Linked DNA regions of Struthio camelus. The protein of the gene in region 2 purifies or fractionates together with the protein of the main gene of each other region. This does not show direct contact. Links are inferred from orthologs where the notes say so. Each region holds a gene or a part of one and is shown on either strand. Other genes may lie near its edges.

Region 1 (9,299 bases), on a different chromosome or scaffold from region 2:
CTGCTTTTGAGATGCGATATGAGGCAATAAAACACAACTGGAAAAGTAGCTCATGTTTGTGCTACCTGATTGCAGCTTTGCTGATCCCATAGGTAACTGAATGATGGGCGATATTGCTATGATACATCTTCCTATGCATCTTCCTATGATTCAAGAAGAGAGAACGTGAAAAAAGTAATTCATGAAATAAAGGACAAACTGGCAGTGTTTAATGACCAAATGCTCACTGGCTGTAATGGAGTCACTCTCTAAGAACTGTGAGTTCAGGCCATTAGTGTGAGGAAAGAAAGAAACCTTTAAAGAAGTTTCACTCTGGAATATGTTAACAGAATTCCATGGGTATATCCTGTGAATAGTTTCATTAAAAATAGCCATTTAAACCTGCAGTGAAGTGAATGCTGGTTATAAGACTGGAAAAGAGATTCTGTCTTTAGTCTGATCTTGGCCACTGCTATGAAACCTGCATACATTCAGACATGCTTGTGTATATATCAGAGTGACAGTTTACTTACGGAGTGAAAATAATTTTTCTCTACAACAGCTGAAGTGATCAAAATATATCTTCATTTCAAAATCCTAAAATGGGTGTTCACAAGTGGTCATAGGGTAGTACTGCACAGTGCAGAGTCGTGTGGAGGCAGCAAAGCTAACACAAAGAGGTGTAATTTCTCTCAAGGGGAATTGTTTGTTATTGCAATTATCCTGCTTATTGTAACTAGTGTAGTTTGCTTAGTTCCAAGTCCTGGCATTTTGCAGTATAGGCATAACACACACAAATATCTTCAAAATGCTTTCGTCAGTGCATAATAAAATACCAAGTCAAAAGAGATAAAACTAAGTTTTCTGTGTCCCTTTACCTGCCATTTAGCTTGCGGTCTTCACATTTAGTTGTTTTTCAAATCTGTATTCAGAAGCTACTAGTTTGTTTGGTTTTTTTTTAATCAGGATCATCATATGGAAGGTTAGATTCAACCAGCTTTTAGACAGGATGTCAGATGATTGCTGTTGGCCAATTTCATTTGAAATAAAGTCATTTCTAGCTCTCTTCACAGATAATATTTAATACATCTAACATGGGAGATATGTTAGTATTTAGGAGTTGAAATCAAAAAATTCTGACAAGAATTAGTGCGCTCCTGATCAGTCTTACTTTGCTTTAACAAAAAGATGTATCGAGCAAGTTCAGAGCAAAAAACCATTGAATGCTGGTTGGAGAGAACATAGCTGAAAATTGGCCTTCAGAATCCACTGAGTTTTGTGTAAGTGTTGTCTGAATGGTCATCTAATTTTGGTCACCTGCCACCGGTTCCAAGCAGCTGAATTCAGTCTGGTGCAGGGGCTTTTCCAGCTATGATGTTCTTGTAATGATGATGGACAAACAGCCGATATAAAAGTCCCTGTGGTCTTGTTCTGAATGCCTAGAAATGCCCTTTGTTCTGGAATTATTCTTAGAAAGCCAAGTATAGAGGCTTCATTGATAAGGTGCAGCATTAAGCAGCCGCAGTGGAAAGGGAGATCAGGCATCTAAGTACATAATTTAGGAAGACAGGAGTGTGACACAGATAAAAATTAGAAGTATGTTTGGGGGATTTAGGAATTAAACTCTACAACTCAAAGTTACACACACCTATAATCAATATTTCCCTAGTAAAGAAACCAGAGCAACACTTGGCTATGACATAGTTAGAATACGTTACCAGAATCCAGCCCTGAATCTGGCGCAGGGATCCCACTCTCCGATGTTGTCACCATATAAAGCCAAACTCAAGAACTTTTATCTAAATTATATGAAAGCCTTGCCCATGCAAAATTTCAGCTGAGTGACAGTATAAATAAAAAACACCCTATGTTGTATTAATATCAGTGTATAGAAATATGAGGCATTGTGATACCATAAACACTGTCTCTTCATGGTTAAACTACACTTTTCTCCACTAGCAATTTCTGATCAGCTGAGTATGTCTAACTGGTTGTATATACTTGGCTGCCAATTTACTTGGTACACCCTACTGATATAAATGGACTGTTAATGGACTTACACTCAGAAAGACCTTTGCAGGCTCAGCAAAGAAGAGGTTAACAGTGTTAATGCCATTTCAGAGAACACATGGTCTGTTGACTACACAGACAGAAATGTCTCTTTTTCTGAGCTGAAGTATACCTTATGCATGAACATGGCCCCTGTGCTCATGATCAAGGTTATAACCTGTTGCATGGTGCCCCGTGGTGGCTGCTTTCCTTCTGCTACCTTTGCCAAGGCCAGCAACTGTTCAGTTGATTTTGATTACTATTAAAAAAACTTAATCCTAAGTCATGATTATTTGCTAACAGGCAGAACGAACAATAAATCAGCATTTACTGATTAGTGACTGTTTCCAGTTCCACTCAGTGGGGGAATGCAGTTCCCTCCAACTAGTTACTTGACACTGATTTCATCTTGCTCTTAAAGACATAGTTAAATAAAAAATCCAGCTGGTAAAATGTTTCTTTTATTAATTTCCTTTTGATCTACTGGGTTATTAAAATGAAACATTTAAACACCTGCTATATTTATCAACAGTTAGAAGGTGTGATTCTTCATTCATTTTCTTTGTATGCTTTTTTCAGGCTTTAATATGCCAGTTAATTGAATTTTTGGTTGTAACTAGTTTCTAGCAAATGTCCATTTCATTTTCTAGTGTGAAATACAACTTTTGTATTGCAACCAATGGTAAAGATAAACTGTTGAAGTAAAGATATTATCAAACGGTTTTGTTTACTTCACATAAACATTTGTATTACTTATGGAATTTTCTAAAATGTTATAAAGTCTGGGGGTTGTTTCCAAATATAATGCCCTTAGCAAACAATATTTATCAACTTGTTTTTATAACAGGGCGTGGATGTTGATCCTGGCTGTGACTTATCAAGCCTCAGCGTGGAAAAACTGGGCCCCCTGACTCCCCACAATTCTTGTTGATCTCTTCTTGGCCAGATAATTAGTGAGGTGAGGAGATGGTTATGGTTTATTAATTTCCAGAAGGCATCTTTCAGTGCTGAAAGGTAGCTAGGTGTCTATGCAATGATGATATTTATATACATGTCTAAAACAAATAAATGATAGAATTACAGTGACTGCATGTTTGCACAGGTGGTTCAGCCTGGGAAGTTCAGTGAAATGCAATTTTTGTCTTCTATTGAAGATGACTTAAGAAAAGAAATGTTAGAAGGTCCATTCTTGCAGATACATGTTTTTAAATAAGATAACTTAAAAAAAAAAAAAAACTTTTTTCAGAGCATGCTATTTACCTGCCTATCTAAATGTTGTTATCTTACAGTTGCAACACATACCTAGAATATCTTATTTCTCTTCTCAGGAAGAGAAACTTGTCTAAGAATGATTGTAGGCATAATCAGATACTTACTTTTAAACAGCTGTTGTGGTTTAAGAAGGTACCACCCTGTGTCTTCTCACTGCAGCCCCATTCAACTGAAGTACATTCACTTACTTTGTGAATTATCCTAGTCCGTTTTGGTGCAAAAATAATTCATCATTCTTTACTATGGATGTTTTGTGGACAAAAGTGACTACATTATATAGCCTTGGGCTTGATGTTTTGTATTGTAGTTTCTAACTTTTCTTATCTTTTTGGATATCAGTCAGGACGATCCAGAAAAGAGTCTCCACCCGGGCATACTCAATATTTGCACATAGCCATTATGCTTGCAAGAAAATACTTCTGCAAAGCAGTTTTGAAAACAACACTATGGTGATGCTAAATAACATTCTCAAAAAAAAAATTTTTTTTAGGGACTTAGTTTTAAAAAACAGATTATTCACACAATCAGGGAAATTTTGTCCTTATTAAGAGAGGCATTATTTCAATGTCTTAAAATTTTTGCATAGAGCACAGGAACCTTACAGCCTATCGGTAATGTCTTTAATTTTTTAAAGGCGATATACTAGTAAGTAGCAGATTTATGATATCAAATCCTTATTTTCCTTTTATTGTGTTCCTTCATAAAATCTTTAAATATGTAGGAGTCCATGGAACGTGTAATATTAAAATATATAATGCTACTTCATTGTGCTTTGCATCAACACTGGTCTGCTCTTGTTGTGTAATTTCTGCATCATTATTATCTGTTGCTTATCAGCTCTGCATACAAGCTAGCGATAGATGCTGATGGCACATATGGCTGTGAGTGCTAGTTTTAAAAAACTCACTTATAAATACATCTCTGTTAAAGTGTCAACTTTGTAACGTGTAAAATCTCAATGAGAATTTGAACGTCCAGTGAAAAACATATGTGACAAACCTATAGCATAAGCAAAACGCCATTTTAAACTTGCCAGTCTCAGTGAAGTCTTATCTCAAATAGCACGATTAGGAACGATAGCTCCCCAAAAGATTAAGAGTAACATAGGTGATCCTTAAAGCCGCAGGAAGGAATTTGCCTTGCAAATAACTGTGCTGGCTGAACGTGGTGTCACCCCCCCACCCCCCGTTTCTGGCAGCAGAGACGCAGAGCAGCAAAGGTTGCTACCAGAGAGGTCTGCTTGCCAGCAGAAGGAAACACGTGCCTGTGCCACGGTCTGCTTCAGGCAAAATCGGCAGGGCTAGTCTCATCTGCTGATGAAGATGGATATGACCTAACCAGATTAAATTTTTTTGCCTCCAGTGGATTTCAGGGATTTGTATTGCCTTTCCTGCCAGCCTTTGGCACAAATAAACACGGAAGGGAATGCAACACCTGACTGTATTCTCACGTACTCCTACCAGAAAAAGCCTGAAAGCAAAACACGAGTTAATTCAACTCAGAGACTGCCCCATGAAAATAATCAGAGGTGAAGTGGGAGAAACTTGATTTCCTCTCTCTTGGAAAGACGCTTAAGAGCCTGGTGGGATGCAGAGGGGCCTCTCTCCTGGGGTGGAGTCTAAGCGATAGCTTTTCCTGTAGGTATAAAGGAAACGCTGTGTATCTGTCTGCAGGGATCTGTAATGGAACGACTTCTCAGATATGGATTGAAAATACGCTTGCCTAAAATAAATGAGAATTTTAAGGACGTGAGTGCAGAGACCTCACTAAAACAGGCATATGAGTAGTAGGTCAACAGCTTTATGGAAGTGAAGCTCCTAATAGCGCCAGGATAGTGGGCCAAACTGTAATACTCTGAAGCACCACCTTTATGGTGTGAAAATCTAAGCTTGTTACAGCCATGCAGCAGGGTAAAAGCTGTTAGCAGTGACGACCTCACTGTGATCTTGGCATCTTCAAAAACGTGACACTTAAATGTTTAACAAATCGATTAAACGTGGACTGTCTGATTTTGGTGTGCCGGACTGACAGATTTTAATTAAAAACCGGTCAAAGAGCCTTTTTTGTACTGTGCAGCGTAAATATACAAAGGCTTGCTTCAAACGTGTTGATAGGGCTTCAAGGTGCTCAGAGGCCTGGCCTCCTTTTGTCTCTGCGCAGTGACACGGGGCGGGGAACAAACAATGATATACCAAAGAAAACGCAGAAAAACCAAAGAGCGACTGCTTGCGTCAGGCAGCGAGAGCCAAAGACGATGGCGAGGGATGACTCAAAGCCTCGCAACGCAGCACTGAAGACTGAGAGGAAAAATTGCCAGAGCAGCTACGGAACAAAAAAATATGACAACACCCAGTAAGGAGATAAAGCTCGGGCGTGGCAGACGCGGCCCCGGATCCGCGGCGGTGCCAGCGCAGCCCAAGGCGTCTGGGGGCACGAGGAAAACTGCCGCTGGAGCGCGATGGCGGGGTGCGGACGGCATGGAGCTGCGAAACGCGGTTGTTTATGGCAGTGCCGGCAGGAGGGGAGGCGTAATTCGGGACAGGGGCTGCTGCGGGAGGGCGGGCGCGGAGGAGCCCTGGCGATGCCGGCGCTGGCAGCCGGGCGGGCAGCGGGGGCGCCGCAGAGCCCGCGGGCGCGGACAGGCCGCGGCGTGGGCGGGGCCGGCGCAGCCGCAGCCGCGCCGGGCGGGCGGAGCGTGCGCGCGGCCCGGCCCCGGCTCATTACTCAGCGGCCGAGCAGGCGGCGGGAGGCGGCGAGCGGGGCCGAGACGGCGGCGGCGGCGGCGGCCTGGCTGGGGCTGAGGAGGAGGTGGTGGTGGCGGCGACGGCGGCGGCGGGGAGCGGGACTGAGGCGGCGGCGGCCGGGCCGGGCCTCTTTGTTTACGTTTCGGAGCGAGGCCGCGGCGGGGGCGGCGCTCGGCCTGTGGCAGCGGGGGCGCCCCCGGCCCTGAGGCGACGCGGGGCTCTCCAGGCCCGTGTCCGCCGGGGCCGGGCCGGGCCGGGCCGCGCTCGGCGCCCGGCGTCTCCCGGTAACGGGGGGGGCGGGGGGCTCTTTGTTGGCGGCCGGGAGGGGCCGGGGCTCGGCGCGGGCTCCTCCCCCGGGGGCGCGGGGGGCGGCGCGGCGCGGCGCGGCGGCCTGTTGGCCTGCGGGGCCGGGACCGCCCCCCGCGGGAGCGCGGCTCCGCGACCTTGCTGTGGAAGTGCCTCCTCGGGAAGAAACGCTCCTCCGGGACGGCGTGACCGCCCCAAATCCGCAGGGGGGCTGGGGGGCGTCTGGCGGCGCTTCCGATTGTTTTGCCTTTTAATTTCATGTTTCCGGTGAAAGGGGTGAGCTGCCTGCCTGCAGAATTTGTTTTGTCCTTTAGTTGCTCTGTGTCGCTAACAGCGTCTGGCTTTGCTCTCAGAGCCTGTTTCTTTATGTGTCTCTCTGTGGAGTGGTGCCATCGCTGAAGCCTGATCTGGGCATGACTGATAAGCTACAAATATGAACCCCACTCGGTTAATTCTCCCCTAGTTACAGTAACAGATTCAGGTGTGTAGTGTGTTTTTTGAATTTAAGCGCTCTGCAGAACAGGCTTGCTGAAGTCTTTCAGATCATCCAGAAACCCTGCACGCTTTGGCCTGTCTGATAATGTAAATATAGAGGGTATTATACTTCTCGTGGAAGGAAAGTATTAATTGCCCTAGGGCACGTGCATGTAGAGTTTTGCGAGGAGAATTTTGCAAGCTTACATCACAACTCGGTCTTATTTACAGGCATGGAGACACTGACTAGTGGGGGACTCTCAATTTACATGAGTGCTAGCCTTGCTTTTAGAGGTGCAGACAAATATACCCCTAGGATGGGACAGTATTTGAAATGCATCTTACTTTATCTATGTATTTGCAGATATATCAGCATAACCTACAAATGGTTCCAGCTGTAGCCTGAAGACGCACTGGGCCAAATCTAGTTAAAGTCTACTGTCAAAGTGAGTTCACTGACTTATCTGAGCTTTCCTGGGGTATAATGAAGAGGGACTCTTAATTCTTTTAGTAATACCTAAGAAACGTATGTTGAATTTTTAACAGTCCCATGCTTGATCTCGGTCTACGAGGACAGCCATCTTGTCTTTTTTTTCACTTGATTTCAGATTTGTAGCATAGGCTAGTCCCTCTGCCCTCCTCCACCCCCCAAGTGACTGGATGTTCAGTGGTTTTCACATAAACGCCCATTGCTGAGTTCTGCAGAATCTCTACTGCCAGGACAGGGACCAGACAAATTCCAGGTTGATTGTCAGGTACTAACTGCTTTCAAGACAGATAGGGCAAAAGTATGTTAGGAGAAGGGAAAGAGTTTTGGAGTTGTAGAGGATGCACAAAGTTGACTGCACAAAGACATTTTGTCATAACTCTGACAAAGCAATTTTAACTCTGTCTTCTAGTGCAGAATTTCCCTAGCTTTTTGGCTCCAGTGGCTCCTATAAGCAGATGAAGTGTCTTGCTGTTTACCATATACCATATGGAGGCTTCTTGGTCAGAAACATTAAAAAGATGATCCAATACAGTCCTGTGTCCTACTGTTTGGGACTACTCATTCTAGGCAGAAGATGAGCTGTCCTTTGTGTATGGGTTGTTTTCTTGGTTGTTGTCTTTAACTTTTAATGATTCTCTTTAGAGAGCTAGGCCTTTGCTGGCTTTATAGGAGTGCAAGTATAACCTCCTTTGCAAATCCTTTAGATAAGTTGCTGTATCAGCCAATTGTAATGCAAATATTAGCAAATAAATTCCATTGTTGAGACTCCAAAACACTTATTTATTTTCTGCCTGCTACTTACCTGACATGGTTAGTTGTGGTTGTTGCTTGTTCTAATTCTTAAACCATGAGTTAATGGGATAGTATTTGAGATTATAATACTATTTGGTTATTTGTTCACTGTATGTTTGGGTGGTTTTTTTTTTCTTCCTTTCCCAACTACCTAAATCATGTGAGTGCTTGTTGTTTAAAGATGTATAAAAAGTAAGTGTGTAGCCCTTCATTTCTGAGGATTGATCCAATATTCTGGACTAAAACAGATATCCTTCCTGATAATCTGCTGAAAAGTACGGTATGATGTTTCTTAAGCTTCCCTTTTCTTCCCCATGAAAAAAGTTTTCTGTGAGTATGTATATAATGTTCATTGCTGTATCACTTTTTGCAAATTAGGCTAATCTGGTTTTGCTCATAGCTGCCTTTTTAATAAGTGATAAGAATGTATTTTATTGCCATAAGTGTTTCCATTTAAAAAAAAGTTCTAAACCCAAAACCCGTGGAAATAAACTTCTTTGTTAATGTTATGGAAAGATCTGTCCTTAAAAATCAATTTAAACTATTTAGACGGTTTGCCTGCTGTGAAATTCATCACAGTTTGGACATGGATTCAGGAAAACAATTTTTATTTTGCTGAACTGAGAATCTGAACGTCTACTGTTTGGATCTTTTCACAAATCCACTTGTCCAAATGGAATTGAAGATTCCCTTTTAAACTTGAAAAAATGCCATTTCTGGTTATCCTTGTGAAAATATCAACTATAGTTAATTAAGCATTGCTTCGTTACATGGTGTATATATGTCCATATGCAAGTACAGAAATAGTCATTTATATTTGCATATATTCTTTTTAATAGTGACTTTAGTGGAAGATAATTAGTTGGTTGATAAAGTCTTTGAGTTTTCAGAGCAATGATAATACTTTTTGTATTTCTATAACATAACACCATAGTTCCATGTTCAGTGGTTACCTTTCTTGAGCAGTTTCTCTCCCTGCTGTTCTTTCTTGCCAGCTCCTGTGTGGCAAAGCAGACAGGGAACTGACTGATACAACTGAAAAATCTTCCTGTTGGACTGATTAATTCCCTTTTGTGTCTGAACAAATAGCTGTACTGGTACAATGTTGGGAGACAGGAGACTGCTTAGGTAGGGACTGCTATCAAAGATGTACATACGAAACAACAGGTTGAATAGTAGTTGCTGGAAGGCTG
Region 2 (10,309 bases):
CGCATCTCTGGCCTCTCTTCCCAGCCGTGTGCTCATCCCCTAGGTGTCTTTACTGAAGTCACTTCACCTCTATATTTCCCCTCCAACTCTCTGTCTCATCAGTTGTTGGCTTCTTGGAGCAGGAACCACGTCCTTTCTTAGTACCACTGGGTCCTGATCTTGCCTGGGACCTTGGCACTGCAGCAGTCTTGGAGCTGGTGCAATCACAGCAGCTGGCAGGTATAGCCTGGGTAGGTGGAGAGAGGGGGGTGTTGGCAGAGCCGTCTCCTCTCCTTCCTTGTGCCCAAGCACTCTTGTGCAGGATCCGTGCTGCAGGTTACACGGCTAACACTGCACAAGCTCTCCATCCAGACTGCGGCTGCATGTAAGCCCTGCCAAGGGGAGGGACGGGGAGGCACAGATGGCAGCAGATGCTCTCATCAATGAAAATGATTTAAGCAACACGCAAAACAAAACAAAACAAAAAAACCTAGCAACTGGTAAGCAGACTAACAAAACCCATCACGGGGGTAGAAAAAAGATGCTCAACCTAACAGAGCCCTCACCCCTGCACAGAGCCTAACTCAATGCTGCCTTTCGGCTTGGTGAAATCGTTTTCCCATCCACGGTTCATATATGGAAAAACGAGTGGAGGAAGGAAGAGAGTGCCTTGCTCTGGAGCACTGGGCAGCGATCGTTTTTTAAGACTGGGATCTGCTGAACGAAAGCCGTTCAGTACCCCTCTCCTTCCCCTAGCCCTGCCCTCTCACTCCCTCCTCAAACACACACCTTTAGAGGTGTGAATATGCCCCCAGGCAGCTTCTATGCACACCCCTCGCTTAGCCTTGCTTTCCAGGGCCAAGCTGACAACTGGCATTAAGGGGGAAGGAATCGACATGCTTAATGGAGCTGAGGTGGTTACTGCAAACAGCTAGCTGCTGCCAGGGGGGTTGGATCCTCCAGAATAACTGCTTTGTACCAGGTACAAAGGTCCTCGTCCTCCTCCCCTCCCATCCCCTGACTTTGACCTGTGCCCTGTACGATCAGTTGTGGCCGGGATTTGGCACAGCTGTATGCTTTTGCCCAGGTTTTCTCAGACATGTTCAGGTAGAAGCTGAGAGAATTTATTCACTGTCTGATTTTTTCTCTTTTTGCATTTGCCTGGGATGCCTAATGGCACAGTCAGAGCTACAGAACGACTGTTTCTACTGCATATACTTAGATGAATGGCACAGCATGCAGACCTCTAGCCCTGCACTTCCACAATTAATTGCATGGAAGCTGTTTTTGCTACATGCACACGTAGTAATCTCTGTTCTGCAAGTGCCGAGCCACACTGTGCACGTGAATATATTTTTATCGAGGAAATGGAGACAGATCTGTAGCAGCTTTCTGCACAAGGAACGAGGCTGTCTCATAGTGCTGATAGTGTCTTTCGCCTGTTCAAGCACGGCAACTCTCCTTGCAAGCTGAGTGACACCATTTTGAGCTTTGTAGAAGGAAGGCGGCATGCAGAGATACGCCGAGCCCTTCAATGGGGTGCACTGGGAGCGCTGCAGATGTAACTACCTGGGTGCATGTGGATGAGAGCCAAAAAGGAGAGTGATTCACTTTTCATGGTGTGACATACAACTCCCCACAGTCAATGTTTCTTTACTGACTTCTATTGGCTGCAATTTCATTCCCTAAAAAGCAGCCAGAAGCAGCACTCTAAACAGCACTGCAATCCAGCAGACCAGCTCTTGGCTGAGTAACGTGTGAAACAGCATTTACAGGTTTCTGGCAAAGCAGTCTTGGAGCACCCCTTCTTCTGGCACCTCCCCACACTAGGCACTATGACACCCACCAAGCCAACAGCAAAACCCCACGGCCTGCTGTCGGGCTGCTCTGCACCCCTGGCTGGGAGGCTGCAGGGAAAGTGGCAGCCACATACGCAGCAGAAACAGCACAGCTTGGTAAAAGCAGAGCTGTGGCAACCAAAGGGTTGACTCTCATTTCTGCCATCAGCAATTCAAAGGTGCTAATACCTACTGCAATGGGAATACAGAGCACTGTGCTGCAGCCGGCACCGATATGACTCATCCTCTTTGCAAACAGATGCAAACAGCAGTTTTTTCCTGTCGATCCCGAGGCTGTGCCCTAGCATAGCTGCAGCTAAAATTGTTCCTTAGGAAGAGGCTTTGATGACATTTGATGGTGGTGGTACTGCCAGGTAAAGTATTGCCACCCAACTGCAGTGCACAGCCCTCTCAAGCGGGAAGGGAGGAGGGCTTGCCTGGCTGTGGTAGGAACTGCATCAGGAACCTGGTCAAGGTTAAAAACAATTATTCAGATGCTTAAAGTAATTGCAGGTCAGCTAAAAGGTATCTCTTTTTTTCTGACAGGTGAGAAAGGTGGTCTGGCAGCAATTTCTCTTCCTTAGTTTTAGTTTACTTCATTATCAGGTTCTGACTTTAATCCCTGTAGAATACAGGAAAATCTAGTATGCAGATTCTGCGCTTGGCCTGCAATGACAATCATAGGTCTTGGAAAACGTTTTAGCAGAAAATGTGACGTGTATAAGCGTAGCTTACATTCAAAACACGTAATTGGGATGCAATCAATCTTCGGATGAGCCTGAAATGTGGGAAAGAGGAAAAAACAGTGTGGACAATAGGGTGAATTATTTTTTAAGTGCTTTTTATCTGAAATAAAGCACTTTCCTTTAGCACTAAGCAACTTGCTGCATAATTTTTGTTGGATTCATTATGAGTACAGGGGAAAGGGAGGGATGCTGGCCCCGTGGCAAAGACAATGGATGAACATCTGGTAGATCTGAGCTCAGAGCGTGACGCTGCTTTGTTCTTTCTGTGTGACCATAACAACATTGCCCCGTCTCTCTCTGCTTAATTTCCCTTGTGTAAAATAGAGATAGCGCTTGCCTATTTAGTGTGTACGAGACACCGAGAGCTCACTGTGTGTCTCCAGTTCGAAGGCAATGCAAAGATGAGTGCTGCCTCTTTGATGTAACCAGAACCACGGGTTCACATCTGAATGCCACAATTTCAGGTCAAACAGGATTCGGATCTAAATCGGGTTAGCGCTAAGCTTTGAAAGCCAGGTGAAGTTTTGCAAGCCTCTGTCACCACCTGCTCCTTACCCCTGCAATCCCAAGAGGAGTTTTAACATCCCTGAAGCATTTCTTTTGGTTTCTCCCCACCAGGCTCTTGGCGACAGCACCTCGCTCAGAAGCAGTGGGCGTGGGAGAGGAGCAGAGCCTGTGGGCCGGACCCTCTCCTGCTTTGAGCGTGAGAGCACCCGTGCAGGTGCAGGTTAGTGCCAGGAATTAACAATCCAAAGCAACATGTCATGCACTGGTTCCTTGCAGCCCCTCGGGACTCCCCGTCCTCTGGCCTCTCCTTGCCATCTTCCTCTTCCTTGCCTCCCAACGGAGATTGCCGGCGGCTGCTCAGCATCCTTCACCCCACCGCCACGCGACTGTGCTCCTCCGCAGGCCGGGCCAACGGCCTGCTGTGGAGTCATCTTCTCGGCAGCTGATCCAGGGGCATTCATTCGGCAGCAGCTTGCCAGGGCTGGGGTTGGAAGCGTTTATTTTAGCTGGGGTTTGGAAAGAAAATGTTGAAATCCTCTTCCTTCAGCAGGCTTCAAGAGCTCATGGCTCTCTGCCTAGATAACACTTTTTATGAGGAAAGCTTTGGTTTTGGGATTTTCAGACTAATTCCCTTCCCCTTCTTTTTTTTCTATTTTGCCCATGGAAAAGGGGGATGGACAACCCTAAACTGAAGCAAGAGAAGACATTCTTCTTTTCCCCTCCAAAAATTAAAAGGGGGCTTTTCCCCTTACTCTATTCATTTGAAGGATGGGGACTATGCCATTTTTTTGGAGCTGTTTTATTAGCATGTGCCCTTTGCCCAGGTAAAAAGGGCTGACTTCACAGTTTGCAAAGTGGGAGGAGAGCTCAGAGCCCGTCAAGCTGCTGCCGGAGCACTCGGCAAGGCTGCGGAGAGGAAGACGGGCAGGAAAAACAGTGAGAAACCCTGAATGGACTAAAGACCGGGGCTTCATTTGAGCTACACCAAGGCAAACCCTGCGCTTCCGCAGCTTCTGCTCCCACCAGCTTAAACCACTCCACAGCAAATCACAAAAAGCGAATGGCTCGACTGGTGCCACAACACCAGTAACTCGCCACTGACTATGGTAACTAGGCCTAAATCAAAGCCGATGTCAATCCGGTCACGCAGTTTAGACACATGTGGTGAAGCAGTCACAGTTTTGCAGTAGTTTCTCTGCTGACACGCTTTGGAGGAATTGATTTTCTGCAGTAGGAAAGGGGGATAGGAAGAGGCTCAGCACTGCTTGCGTAATGGGGATAGTGAAATTTTTAGCATCGCACTATTTCCCAGCAACTAGTGCTTTAAGCCTTTGGTGCGCTACAAGAAATGACCCTTCCTGAAAAGATTTTGCCATGTCAGTAACCATGGCAGCTTGATATCCTTCTTTAGCTAGCTGCTGTGAACGACTGGAGAGAAGAGAGTTAATTTTAAAACATCCGGCATCCGTATCAGCAGCAGGGAGGAAGGCTCCCTCGATTTCATAAGTGCCAGCAAAACCTAAGCTTCTAAATCGTAATCCCTCTTTAAGCTGGAGTTGCCAGGCCACATCCAAGGGCAGAGAAAAACCACTGCTGTGTTAGCAGGCTCCGAAACCAGCCATAGGGCTTTTCTATGCCACCTACAGTGGGACGGAGGGGAGCCCACCACGAGTCCTACCACTGTGTCAGGTGAGACAGGTCACTTCTGAAATATTTGCTGATGAGGGCTGGCTCTCCGCTGGGCCCTAGCGGCGTCTTTTCCTGGGGAGGTCATATATGAGGCCCTTTTCTTCTGCTCTTCACCTTCCCAGGCTTCCCCCTCCCTCCTGAGGGGGAAAGCTTTTTGCGATATGCCCTGCTGCTCTGGGGGAGGAGGAGCTCCTTTCCTTCAGATGCCGGTTTCTTGGCTCTTGCCATGTGCGTTTGCTTTTCCCAGAGAAAAGGAGATCCACAGAGTAAGAATAAAAACCTTCCGCCACTTTTTAGCGCTGTTTCAGCAGGGCAACGCATCACCATTTGCAAAGTGCAGCCGAGACAGGAGCAGGACCCACTGGGCCAGGTTCGCTGGCTCTCCTGCTGAACCCCAGGCCTTTGCGCCACCCTTTGACGTGCCATCTGCACAGTCTGCATCGCATTTACGTCTGTCCTTCCCCTCCTATCCCCAGCTTTGGCATTTATGAGTGAGCGATTCCTTAGGGATGGGCTTTGGCAGCCACCAAACTGTTGTAAGTTTAGCAAAGTGGTGATTGAGATCAGCAGAGGAGACATGGGAACGGAGGGCAGGGAGAGCTAAAAAAGGGAGGAGGGTTTGTCTGTCCTACAGGAGAGCTTCAGGGTTCAGCTTCATCCAGATCAGACCAGAAAGATAGGCTGGGAACGGTCCGGGAAAGAAAATATTTGAAAGCTTTTGACCTTTTCAAAGCACGCTGCCTGGACTGATTTAGCACCAAAGTCAAAGCCATGAAGTTGTAACATAACATTTTGGCTGGGTTGAATGCAGGTTTTCCGAGGGCAGTTGTTCTTTCGGGACAGTGTTTGCCCAGCTGTACGCAACAGCCAGCTTCGCCCAGCTCAGCCCTTGCTCCAGCTGCAGCAACGCTGCTCGGCCAGGCCAGGGGAAGCCAGCCCAGGAGCAGCGCAAGTCAGCAGAGCCCAGAAACCCTAATGGCGAGGCAGGTCAGCTCTGAAAAGGCGCTTTGTTGCTCAGGCCGATCTCTCCTTGGGATAATCCATCTCTTTGCATTACAGTATCACCAAAAGAGTAGGACTGGGGCTCCTGGCGCACGTCACCCTGGAACCTCTATGGAAAGGGCAGTCTCTGCCTGAAGGAGCGCCCCGTCCACCCTGTCCACCCCGCAAGGGTCCCTCGTGCTGCTCTGCGCCACCCGGGCCGCCTTGCCAGCTCAGTCTGGCGCGTGTGGAGGACTGTCCCGGGTCGTCCAGCCACGGCCCGATGCTAGGAGCAGCGGTCGGGGCTGTGCGACAGCCTGGCGATGGCTGGCATACGGGCCATCGCACTGCGGCAGAGGGAAGGGGAGAAGCGCAGCGATTTGGGGGCTCCTTGACGTGGCCTGGGGGCAAAACGTGAAGGCACTTCGCGGGAACTGCTCGTGGCCGAAACGGGGTAGCGTCAGCGAGCGGCGGGAGCTGCGGCGTTGCGCTGAGGGGTGTCCGGGCCCTGGGCGGCTGCTCGGGGGCGTCTCAGCGAGGCTCAGGACACCAGCGCGGGGCGCCGAGGGGGCAGGAGTGGCGCCGGGCAGCCACGGGTGCCACCGGGCCGGGCCGGGCCCTTTGTTCGGGGGCCGCCCGAGGCAGCGGCAGCGGCAGCGGCGGCCTTACCCCGCGCCCGCGCAGCGCTGCGCCCGCCGCCGCGGCAGCGGCGAGGCTGACGTCACCCTCCCTGGCGCCCGCCGCGCTGATTGGCTGCGGGTGACGTCAGCTTGAGGCTTTTTTTTTGCCTTTTTTTTTTGCCTTTTTTTTTTTTTTTTTTTTCCCCGAGGCATGACCTCATCGCCGGCGCATTCCCGGCGGCGCGCGGAGCGGCGCGGAGCGGCGCGGCCCCTGCGCGCCGCGGCAGGCGGGCCCGGCGGCGCCGCCAGCGGCCGCGCCAGCCCGCGGAGCGGCGCGGAGCGGCCCTCCGCCGCGCCGGGTCAGTGCGGGGCCGCGGGGGGCGGGCGGGGGCAGCGCCTGCACGCGCTCCATAGGCATATATATTTTATATAGATATGTATGTGCCTGCAAATGCGTATATATATATATGTGTGTGTGTGTGTGCCGGGAGGTGCGGGCAGGGGCGCGTACGCGGGGAGCGGCGCGGCCGCGCTGTGCACTGCAGCACGCAGCACATGTGCGGCGCGTACGCGGCGTCCGTCGTGGGGACGCAGGGGCTGGCGCCGGGGCATGTGCGGAGTTGCGCGGAGCGGAGCGGAGCGGGGGAGACGGACAGCGCGCCGGCGCCGCCCGGGGCCGGTAGGGCGGCTGCTATAGATAAATATAGATGTAATACGGCTTTTTAAAGGGGGGATTGGGATTATGCTGGTGCAAAAGAAACAAACAAACAAAAAAAAAACCAGAAAGAAAAAGGGGGAGGGCGAAGCCGTGCCGAGGCCGCGCTGCGGCGCGGAGAGCGGCGCCGGGGAGGTGCGCGCCGGGCGCCCGCTGCGCTGGGAGCCGGGCAGCGGCGCGCGGCTTTGCGGCTGCCGCAGGTGCGCGCGGAGGCGGCGCCGGCTCGGGCCCGGCTGCGCCGAGGCGGTCGGAGCTCTGGGCTCCCGCCGCGCTCCGGTGTCGCTGGGGGTATCTTGCTAGCGGTTTTTCTCTTTGGGGGCTGAGGCTTGGGGTTTGAGGAATCGGTGTTAACAGCGCTGTGGTTTTCTAACGATGAGAGAGTTTGGAGTGTCGCCGTGTGTCCTTGGCGTTTAAACGAGCCCGGGGAAGCCGGCATGTGTTCAGCAGCAGGGGTTTTCATGCAACGCTTCACTGCTGCAGCTCCAAAGGCGCTGCTAGCGATTAATGAGTTAAGCTGCCCATTTAAAATAATCTCCTTGACCTCCCATAACGTGCATGGAGCAATTGATCATCTCTCCCTCCCCCCTCATTGTTATGTAGTGATAAATGTTGGATTTTGTGCTGAAAGTTAGAGCTGATTATCACTAGTCAGAATCCTGATTGTTTCCCTTTATTGATAAACAAGTTCCTTCTCTTTTCTGCTCGCCCCCTTCCTTTCTCCTCCCCCAGAATTAAATTCCTGAGCACAGTAAAAGCTGATGTCAGTGCTTCAGCTTGCATTGGGGGAGCTCTACGCACAGGTCAGTAATTTGCGGTTTTGTTGTAAGGAGGGACGTGGTGCAGTGTTGTTCTGTTAAGGATGTTTGCGTTTGCTGGGCACAGATGCGTTTCTTATTTGGATTGTGGTAGTATCAAAAGCTCCCTAGTGGGGAGCACAGCCTGCTAGGCGCTGTATATAAAAGCATGTGTCAAAAAGACCATCCCTGTCCCAAACAGTGAGCAGTCGCAAATACGCTAGGAACGGTTGCCGGAGGTTTCAGTCTCCCTCTAATTTGGGGCGTGAAGACAGATACCTCCCTCTGCCCCCCGCGAAGCGAATGGTGCAGCTGTCAAAAAGCCCAAGGAGGCTGGAGCAGGTAGTGAGGAGGACTGTGCTGGCAGCCTGGCGGGTGCTTCCAGCCACACCGGGGCTCTTTTAACCTTGAAGCGGGCTTGCCTGTGGAGCTGCGTTTGCCGTTTGCTTGCATTGTCTCTTTCTTCCCTGCTAAGGCAAAAGGCTTGGGGTATGGCTGCCTTCACACTGAAATTCGGTGGCGGAGAGCTTTGTTTTCAGGACTTGACGCGTGGGAATTGGCACTCGCAGGTTTGGCCTTGCCTGTCTCGGAGGGGTTTGCTAGCGCTGTTGTAAGCGGTCTGCGCTGTTCGGTTTTCCTCTGCAGAAGAGGTTTATTGGGTTTGAGTCTAGTTGGGACTTGCTGGGTTTGCTTTGGTTTTGCTTGTAGCAGTTGCCAAACAAATAAGCTGCAACACCAAGAAAACTTCTCAATTGTGGGTGGCATAGCCCTGCTGGCAGGGTGCGCATGTGTGGGGCTGTCCTAATGGCCACTACCACAAAGGACATTTGGGAATGCGAGAGCAGATGGGGGCCCAAATGCCTCCTTGGGATGACAGTATGTTGGACTTCCTACGCTCGGCTGATTGGCAATAAACTCAAGTAGAGAAACCCTTGATCTAAATGGTGTCTTGAATACTGGTTCTGAGATGTCAGCGTTTCACACCAAAATGCTTTTAACTCAACAGTTTAGCCGACTGTGACTTTCAGTTGTCCCTGCCTTAATGCAAGCTAAGGAATAGGAGAGGGAGACTTAGATCTAGCTTTACATTATGAAATCTAGCCTCTGCTGTGTTTGGGAGACCTGAGCAAAGTGGCCAGACTCCTCAGGGCTCTCTTAATGGAGATCACTCTTGCAAGTGTAGTACTTGGCATTTGTTTGCAGAGATGTTTTTGCTGGGTGCCAAGCACCTTGCTGAGAAACCCACTGAGGTGCCTGCCTTTGCAGAGTTTGTCACTTAAAATTAAATACGATGCTGCTGTTACTACCAAAGCACCCCCGAAGGCTGGATGAGACTTCTCAGTAGCGTATGTCTCATACAGGCAAATTGCCTCTTGAGAGAAAATGAGGTTCTCCCCCACAAGAAAACCCCCCAAAATGGAAACCATTTGTGTCTCAGAAGGATTTTTGAAAATGAGCATTCTCAGGATGAGTGTGAAGGGGCTTCCTCTCCATCCTTATTCCCTACCTCTCTGCCAACAAGTGCTGCTTTAAATCTGTGTAAGAATAAGGAGCGTGTTATAGCTGCTTTCCTGTTTCGATTTGTTCTGTTGACTTTAATTAAGTCTCTTCTTAAGGAGCAGACACCGGTTTCTTTGGTGTATAGCTCAGTTGAGGTTTGGCTCCAAAAGCCCCGCGTGCACGCAGGTGTAGAACATGTTAAGGCCATCTGGGATGAAAGCAGGAAAAGGAGGTGTTTCAGTGCTTGGCAGTCTTGACTTACAGGACTGACTTACAGGATGCTACCGTCACACTTCGGCTGCTGCAGCAAACTGGATTTTGTAAAGAACAAGGTGATAAAGAAAAGGAGCTTGCAAATACTGGGTCCTCTGCCTGGTAGGACAGTTGGAAGATTAAACTAGGCTGGAGAGTTTGTAGATCTTTTTGCCCTCTACTGTTGGTTTAATGGCAATGCTAAGGGGGAGCCGGCTGCGGAAAGCCACAGCACAAGAGGTGCTCCTTTTCCTTGACGTGCGGTGCCATTTCACCCCGGGCTTTTCTTTGCTACTATGCTTAGAACTTTGCAGCCAGACCTTCACTGCTGTCATCCTGTGGGGAAAGCTTAAAAATGCTCTGCTGCAGCCTCACGCCCTCTGGGCTTTAAAACCTGTTTTTCAAGCTCTGCATTTCTCCTCTGAAGATACACCTGTCCTACCTGATGCTGAGTGGGAAGGCAGACACCTGACGTAATTTCAGGCTGGCTTGGGGTGGGGAGGCAAGGGGGCCTGAGACAATTCATCAGATAAGAAGCCGAATGAGCTCCCTGCTCATGATTTTCTCAAGCTTGTTTGGGAAGACCTGTGCATACTTTGTGAGCAGGGATGCAATACAGCCTAGGGACATTAAGGCTGTAAAAGCTGATGGTGCCAAGGCGCTCTGGGATAATGGTATGGCAGCGCTG

What was found. The genes of interacting proteins can lie anywhere in the genome.
Region 1: the proteins of DUSP8 (region 2) and MAPK8 purify together in Homo sapiens (affinity purification with mass spectrometry; 3 studies listed by BioGRID and IntAct, counting the BioPlex papers as one, with this or other methods). This does not show direct contact. The link is inferred for Struthio camelus from reciprocal best matches to the Homo sapiens genes DUSP8 and MAPK8.

What each region holds. Positions count from the first base shown.
Region 1 is NC_090948.1:21,903,915-21,913,213, reverse strand, and holds the start of MAPK8 (mitogen-activated protein kinase 8), read left to right. Parts: upstream 1-5,494; 5' UTR 5,495-5,652; intron 5,653-5,703; exon of another isoform or gene 5,704-5,766; intron 5,767-5,979; exon of another isoform or gene 5,980-6,111; intron 6,112-6,309; exon of another isoform or gene 6,310-6,328; intron 6,329-7,188; 5' UTR 7,189-7,270; intron 7,271-9,299. UniProt on the Homo sapiens protein: Serine/threonine-protein kinase involved in various processes such as cell proliferation, differentiation, migration, transformation and programmed cell death.
Region 2 is NC_090946.1:17,930,730-17,941,038, reverse strand, and holds the start of DUSP8 (dual specificity protein phosphatase 8), read left to right. Parts: upstream 1-6,655; 5' UTR 6,656-6,719; intron 6,720-6,977; exon of another isoform or gene 6,978-7,039; intron 7,040-10,309. UniProt on the Homo sapiens protein: Has phosphatase activity with synthetic phosphatase substrates and negatively regulates mitogen-activated protein kinase activity, presumably by catalysing their dephosphorylation.